Linked DNA regions of Lepisosteus oculatus. The protein of the gene in region 1 interacts with the protein of each later gene in a pairwise test. Links are inferred from orthologs where the notes say so. Each region holds a gene or a part of one and is shown on either strand. Other genes may lie near its edges.

Evidence for each region.
Region 2: the proteins of tnip2 (region 1) and stk11 interact in binary tests that used the Homo sapiens proteins (3 or more experiments, as listed by UniProt). The link is inferred for Lepisosteus oculatus from reciprocal best matches to the Homo sapiens genes TNIP2 and STK11.

What each region holds. Positions count from the first base shown.
Region 1 is NC_090696.1:72,665,350-72,669,269, forward strand, and holds the start of tnip2 (TNFAIP3-interacting protein 2), read left to right. Parts: upstream 1-885; 5' UTR 886-1,316; coding exon 1,317-1,703; intron 1,704-3,334; coding exon 3,335-3,637; intron 3,638-3,861; coding exon 3,862-3,920. UniProt on the Homo sapiens protein: Inhibits NF-kappa-B activation by blocking the interaction of RIPK1 with its downstream effector NEMO/IKBKG.
Region 2 is NC_090724.1:7,566,676-7,570,595, reverse strand, and holds the start of stk11 (serine/threonine-protein kinase STK11), read left to right. Parts: upstream 1-1,229; 5' UTR 1,230-1,696; intron 1,697-2,242; 5' UTR 2,243-3,007; coding exon 3,008-3,297; intron 3,298-3,920. UniProt on the Homo sapiens protein: Tumor suppressor serine/threonine-protein kinase that controls the activity of AMP-activated protein kinase (AMPK) family members, thereby playing a role in various processes such as cell metabolism, cell polarity, apoptosis and DNA damage response.

The DNA.
Region 1 (3,920 bases):
TCAGTACAGTTGAAATATTACATAAACAGTGAACACTGCGCAGTGACAAATATTTATAAAAAGAAGACGGATACAAGTGCCCCTTGTATACTGAACAATCGTGAATATTCGCAAAATACTGATAATTGTTGGCTGTTTAAAAGCCAGGAGCACTTAGCGCGCAAAACCATATGACCAAGCCAATATTTCCCACTGCAGGTACAGCAGAGAAAAACAAGTCAGTGGTTGTGAGGATTATTGTTTGTAAGGACAGACTTACATTTGTCAATAAAATTAATTTCCAGTCACACAAGCCCATCAGAAGATTGAAGGGGATTCCTTAGAGAGCTACAGTATAGTAGAAGGAAGCTTCGCATCTGCAAAGATGGTAAAAGAGTCCAGGTCTCTGTAATTTTTAAACCATTTTCCATTTAAACATTCTTGAGCCAAATGCATCAGAAAGTACAAAAAAACACAACTGCAACAGCAGCCATCTTTAAGGATAATGTATATGAATAGCCCACTGGCTGCAAAGAGGCTTAAGGAAAGAATAAAAACAAAATAAAAACATTACACGATGGACAATTCTACGAATATTGAGTGTTTGTCGGTACTGTTTAATTGGTAACGCGACATGTAAGAAACATTTAATCACAAGGGGGGGAAAACACTTGTAAAAAAAAACTTCTTAAAAGTCTGCTGTGTTTTTCATTTTTGTTTTAAAAAAAAGTGTTCGTTATGTAAGAAACCATGAAGTGAGAAACTTAGAAATTGTCCCGAGTATATCAACCGTGTGTAGCAAAGTGAAAAAAAAAATCCAGAATGATCAAAGTCTATTAAAAAAGAGGTGTTACGAATTCACCAGACAAGTTTACCGTCTATAACCGGAAACATCTCACGCATGTGCAGAAGTAGTCTTACTCTGTGACATGGCTAGATACATTCTACTGGAAAAAAAGAGAGAGAAACGGTTTCATTAAGAAAAGGAGTCAGGAGCGCTTGATCTTTTTCATTAATACATTTACCAGAAGTTACCAGAAGAGCTTAATCAGAGCGGTGCGGAAAAGAAGCAGTCATTGAAGGATCTCAGAGTTGCTAAGAAAGAAAAGTACAAGAAAAGTCCGCCGATGCGACTGGGGGAAGTCCCGAAGGAAATCCCCAGTAGGTACTGGAATATTATTTCGAAATTGTATGTACCGATCTATTATACGGCTGACCCTTGTCTCTGGGAGATGTTCGTAGAGCCCTCAGTCGAATAAAAAGTTAGTGCGCGTCTCAAGTGAAGAACACAGCGAATTTTAACCTGGAATGCTGGAGGATTAGCGGAGGGACATCCGATGTCGGCTCTTTCAGGTTGCGCAGAACGCCCGATCGCTGGATACAACCAAGCTGATTCTCTGATGGAAAGCATAAAGCGAGAAAACGCGGCGCTCAAAACAAAACTACAGAGCTACAATACTTTAAACACGTTCTACCACGAAACGAATCAAGAAATCGCCAAGTTAAGCCACCAGATGTGCCTGAAGGACAATATCATTGCTGACTTGAAGACAAGATTGGCCGCATACGAAAACACGACGGTTCATATGGGTGGAGAGGAACCTCTGGTTTTTGGACCTTCTAAATCCTTGTTCGAGAACCTGTGTCAAGAAATCGGTAAACTTAAGCATCAGCAGAGAGAGACCGAAAGAAGCGCTGATCGGCAATTGGGAAACATGAAACTAGTAAGTGATTTCTTGGTGTATAATGTGTACATCTGCTGCTTAAGATGTTATAATACTGCAATAAAATGCATTTTATTTGTAGCGGTTCCCCTGCTATTAGTAATAATTCCTTTTTTCTTATCTGAAAAATAAATATCTATATATATTAAACTAGTGGGTAATTTAATTATGACTGTAAGCCGCTGTAAATTGAAAAGGATTGTAATTTTCTTGTGACGCAAATAGAAAGGGGGATTTCTGCAGCGTCTGATGTAGGATGTTAGGAAGTTTCATTATAGGCCAAATGGTTACGGCTATATTTCCAATTCCGCCTCGCTGAACAAAGATCATTTGGGTTATATTACAGTATCGGTATAGTTAATAAAATTAGGTATTTTTTTATATTTATGTCCAATATTTAATGCACTTCTCAACTGTAATTAGAGTAATTATTTAAAAAGTACACATTTTGAACTTGGGTTGGACTCTGCTGACCTAGTTTTATTATAATCGAAAAATAAACGGCTGAGTGAACTACACATTCTATAAACGTCTTCCAGCTTTTAGCGATGAACGCGAGTGTGTGTTATATTGCTTACAACTCTAATTTAATTCAACTCTATTGCTCGTCTTTTTAGTGCCTTAGACAAATATCTCAATATCGTAAAGGTTCAGACATTCAGCGAAATAATTCATTTGCAATACTGAAACCGGAAGAGTAAAAACTTAAAACAAGCAACCTCCACTTTAGCTGGAAAAACTCAGTTTTTCCAAACCCCAAGAGCATTTCTCAGGGAAGAGCTGTATCATTTCATGGAAGGCACCGATTGGCAATGCTGGTGCTTTCACTAGAAACAAATGTGACTTGTTTATATGGTTTTTAAAGTTATCATTTACATTCATAAGCGTCTGTAAACAGGGTAAATGCAAACAGAAAATCAAGATTGTTTTGTTGTTGTTTTCAAAAGTATCTTATCTGGTTTGGTTGTTTTGTTTTTACTTGTTAATTCGTTTGGTGATTTCTTCTGTTTCTCTGCCATCCCTTTATGCCAGAAAGTGCATGGAACCTATTTTTGAAAAAAGGACTGTTTTGAGTTTAGTGTCCTGCGTTTTTTTTTAATGCTATTAGCATGTTGTGTTTCAGGGAATGTTCATGTCTGTGATTCTGTATTCTTACAGTTTCATGATTAGATGAAGAAATATGTTGATGTAGATACAGCATATAGACTTAGTTGAACATATGCCATTACATGTTTACTTCATTTGACCACACTAGGTAGATCAATTGACAAAAAAAAATATGTTCTCAAGGTGTTTGAACAAGCTAGCTTCTGTGCATATAGTTCCTGCAAGATAAGGGCATGACACTGAGAAATAAAAGAAAGCCTCCTTTATTTCAAATAATTTAGTAAGCAATGAATTTAAGATCATATACAGTACAGTGCAGAACTGAAGGTCAGCATCTCATCATTACTTTTCCCCAGTCTGTGTGTGGTCTGCATTGGACAGGAAAACATTTAAATTATGTGCTTTAAATAGATATAAAAACACACACAGCATAGGTATTCAAGATAAAACCACTCTTTATTTAAGATTAGCAACAAGCGTTTTATTTCTTGTAACTGTAAATCCCCACTCTCCGTGAATTTCAGGAGATTCAGGAACTGCAGCAGCAGCTGAGTGCCAAAGAGCAGGAAATCCAGAGAATCACCAGCAGGCCCCAGCACGAGAAGGACCTGGAGATCATGCAGCTGCAGCAGACCGTGGCGGAGAAGGACAGAGTCCAGGCCACAAGGGCGGTCCTGTGCTACTCTCTCGCCGAGGAGGCTGAAAATCTCAGGGCCCAGCTGGGCGCCACTGTAGGCGTGTGTCAGCAGCTACTGCAGAGACTGGAGAGGAAGCAGCAGAGGGAGGACTCCACCAGCAGTGCCACTCAATCAGAGCAGCCCAGAGAGGTACCTCAACCTGAGAGAAAGAGACCGTACAGCCCCTTATCATACACTGCTCTCAGCCTGCTGTAATACCACTGATGTACTCCGCGTGACTTTAGAGGAAATGTTAACATTATCCCAGCCAGAAAAAAATGCCAATAAGGCAAACCAATTCCAGTCTTTGCAAAGCTTATATAGTTCTTGACTGTGATTGCTAATCCTTGGTTTCCTGTTTTGTATCTCTCCAGGGTGCGGATTCGTCAAATTCTGCTCAGCTTCAAGCCTTGATTTGCCGGCTACAGGAAGA
Region 2 (3,920 bases), on another chromosome or scaffold:
ACTGGCACGGAAATAGAAAGTTATTTTACAGCGCAGGCAACGCACGGTAGTAGAGAGCAACTGTTCGCTTGCCTAACCGGTACACAAAGCTGTGGTGACGTGCTTACGCGCAAGTGACTCGGGTGCATCTAAAACATAGGTCCTGCGCGATCATCATCATTTACAGTCAAGAGAACGGGAACACGGTTTTGGATGAAGCCTAGCTGTAAAAGTAACAAACACCCTGAACAAACATCCGCAGCCGGAACGGTTTTCTTTTTCATTTTCAGCGGGGAATTAACCTCTACGCGTTCCTATAAATACCATTGATTAAATATTAAAAACAATGAGACGCATTATATATATATAGAGATGGGATCGTCATTCAGGTAGTTTATGTGGGTGTGTATAATGAAGACATTTTCTACGTGTATCTTATTTGCTAACATTAGAGTTATAACGTTTACAGTTTTAGCTCCGTAAACAAAACCTGCCGTTTGGCATCTTTTAGGAATCTTATAAGTTGACGATTTCTGTGCACGCACATAAAGAGATTAAAAACACCGACAATTAGCCATATTGACGGGGTGTCATTGTCCACTTAGACCCTGCTGGCGTAGTGAATTCATTGTCATTTCTAACAAGAGCGCATCTGACATAGCATTGCCGCGTCTCATCCAGAAAGCTTGAAACCGGTCGCCGCTGTGACTGTCGCCACCCGTTGTGTGCTCTGTGACAAACGTAGGCTGCTTGTGAAAGTGTTATATCACATCCAGTCCGCAGCGCCTGTGCTTTGCTGGGAGAAATAACTGCCCGAGTTTTTCAAGTAAAAGCCAGTGACGGCGGCACGCTATGGAAACTCCTTTTAACTCCGTGCAAATTCTGGGATTTTCCCCTGATTTAGGATTGATAGTAACGATCAGCCAATAAGCGTAAACCTGGGATCGGTCCACTCTATGAGAATCCCAATACATACAGTAATACAAAGATTTCGAAAAGGCAGAACTTGTTATACATGACATTATGAACCTGACGAGCTGCCCGGCCAAACAGAATACAGTACGGCAGCCTAGCTTCCCTCTCACACACAGGCAATGGAAAGTTGCATTGATCGATGGAGGGAATCGACCAATCAGCTTCTGACGCTCGATGGTTCCGCCTCTCCAGGGGACCGTGTTGGGAAGTGATTGACACGACGTGTAGCCAATAAGTGCGCACGCAAGTGGTTGCCATATTGACGCGCTGACGTAAGGGGCTGGCGTTTCGGTCTTGAGCGAGGGGGGAGGTAAACAAGATGGCGACAGCCTGACGGCGGCTGCAAATTTAAGGGGTTCAAAACCTATCCTATTTACACCGACACGGATACACGCCAGGAAAAGTAAATACGTAAATTAACATACATCAGCGAAGCGCTGCATGCCGGATTTTTGGAGGCCGAGGAAGAGATGCCAGCGACGGGACGTCCATAAAGTGATATATTAGGAGTAGCAGTCGTACTACTAATTCGGTCTCTCTGGATTGTACTTGACATCGTATCTGCTGGACTTCAGCTTTGGTGACTAGAAGGAGGGTCTCCAGTCTGCCGGTTCTTTTCCAGAAACATACACATTTAAAAAAAATAAAGGCAGGACAGGCGTCTGGAGATGAAAGAGTTAAGCAGAGGATAAACCGGGCACGGAGTGCCGGGGGGCTGGTGCGTTTTTATTACGCCGAGCAGGTAAGAGACGAGGGTTTTCATTATTAATATAAACAAGTCAAGTGTAGTGTTCAAGCAGAGGGATCCGAGGCCGTGCTGCCTCTACGAAACGAGCGATTAGTATTTTTTGAAGCGGTGAAGTAAAAGAGTGCAGCTTGGCCGTCAGCGTAGGTTCACATCTACTGATCTCGGGTAACGGGCGACGGATTTCTGTTTGTGTTTGGTTTTTTTTTGCTTCAGCCAGCGCGTAAAACTGTAGCATTGCTGCACTGGGTTGGCTAATTTATTTGTTGTTGTTGGTTTTTTGTTTTGTTCAAATAAAGCCAGAATAGGTCGAGAACACTTAATATCTTACGCCTTGGAGCTCTCGCGGTGTCGTTTGTGCTAGCGTCCGTTTACAATCTGTAATGTGCCTCTTGGCTGCAGATGACACGTACAATGCATTGTCGTTGTTTCTATTTTGCTATATCAATGCATGTGCAATGTTATTCTTAACATAGTCTTAAATTAGCTTCGCAAACTGCCTTACGTGTATCATTGATCTGAAATATTTTTCTTGCATTCCAGATATTGGATCTTCGTTTGCTGCAACTGGCTAAGGACTAATTTTAACTCTTTGATAGTAGTGTGCTGGGAATCCTAAGGATATGAAACCAGCGGGGGGATAGGGAGTCAAGTCTTCGGGAAAATTTCCCTTAAAAAAGCAGTACCAAAGAAGATCTCGCTTGTTACAGGTGTGAAGAAGACGGGGAGGGGGGGGGGAGGACACATTTTCTGCCCGTTGGATGACGTCGGTGTCCACGGACTGGGGGCTCCTTGGCTGACGGTGGATTTGCACCCCGATGCCAGCAGGAGCCAAACACCAGGGACTGTCATCGAGTTAGAATTTCCACACTCCTCCACCTCCACCATCACGGGGAAAAAGAAAGCATAAACCGACTACATTTCTCTCCCTGGTTTTGTGAAGCAGCGGGGTGTAATGTGAAGGGGCACCACCAGACTTTTTCCTCTAAAGTGTATGTAAAAGCCCCCCCCCTCACTTCTGCATCCGTGTGTGTATCAGGAACTCCAGTCCGGGCTATGCTGCTTCATAGCTGAACTCTGGCAGAGTCTGCCCCTCCACCCCCAGTCTGGTTCTCCTTGGAATTCCCGAGCTCTTGGAGGTCTTATCCACTGGGTGCTGTAGCTTTCTTGTTCCACACTTCTCGCTTGGAGAAAACGGAGGGATTTCAGGAGTAAGTACCTCTTCCCTTCCTCCAGCACCTCCTCCCCCCTCCCCCCTCCCCGGGCCCACCTCCTCCTCCCCAACTCCGCAACCCCTGAGCTGCAAAGATGAGCATGGACGAACTGCAGCGCCTGTCCCTCGACTACCTGGCGGAGCCCGAGCTCATGGGCATGGACACCTTCATCCACCGCATCGACTCCACGGAGGTCATCTACCAGCCCCGGCGCAAGCGGGCCAAGCTCATCGGCAAGTACCTGATGGGGGACCTGCTGGGCGAGGGCTCCTACGGCAAGGTGAAGGAGATGCTGGACTCGGAGACGCTGTGCCGGCGGGCGGTGAAGATCCTGAAGAAGAAGAAGCTGAGGAGGATCCCCAACGGGGAGGCCAATGTCAAAAAGTAAGTCCCGGCTCCTGGCCCCAGATCCTCATCTTTTGGGCTGGGTCTGAGCCCCCCGACTGCTGCAGGCACCCTCTGTCTGCTTCTAAGAAAAGACCACGGGGCTGTCTTCATTTTGCTGGACCACCCATGGGCCATGGACCATGGACCACCCATGGGTGGTGTGGGTGGGGTATGGGTAGCCAACGTGGATGTCCGGGCGAGGGCAGACCCGTTGAGTGCCGGTGACCTGTGGCCAGTTGTGTCCCTGTGAGTATGTGAGAGTAGGCTATCTGAAGCTGCCAAAAGCCTGGGTGGTCTTGAAAGTGTCACTCTGGTCATGGACTTGTAAGGCTATAATTACAGTCATCCCTCGGCCTAAAGGACTAATAGGGAGGAGTGTATATATAGGAGAACAGGGAAGTCCATTACTGCCGAATATCCCTTTTTTTTTCAGCCTAAAAACATGCTATTTCTGCATATACATAATGTATTTTTCTTATGTATGTGCTCTGGAAGTTTTGACTTATTTAACAAGGGCAGTCAACACAGTAAAAATTGTTTCCATGCCTTTTTCAATCGTGAACGCACAAGCTCTTTATTTCATGTTGTAAATATAGCGTATAAATTTTGCTTAAGCATAC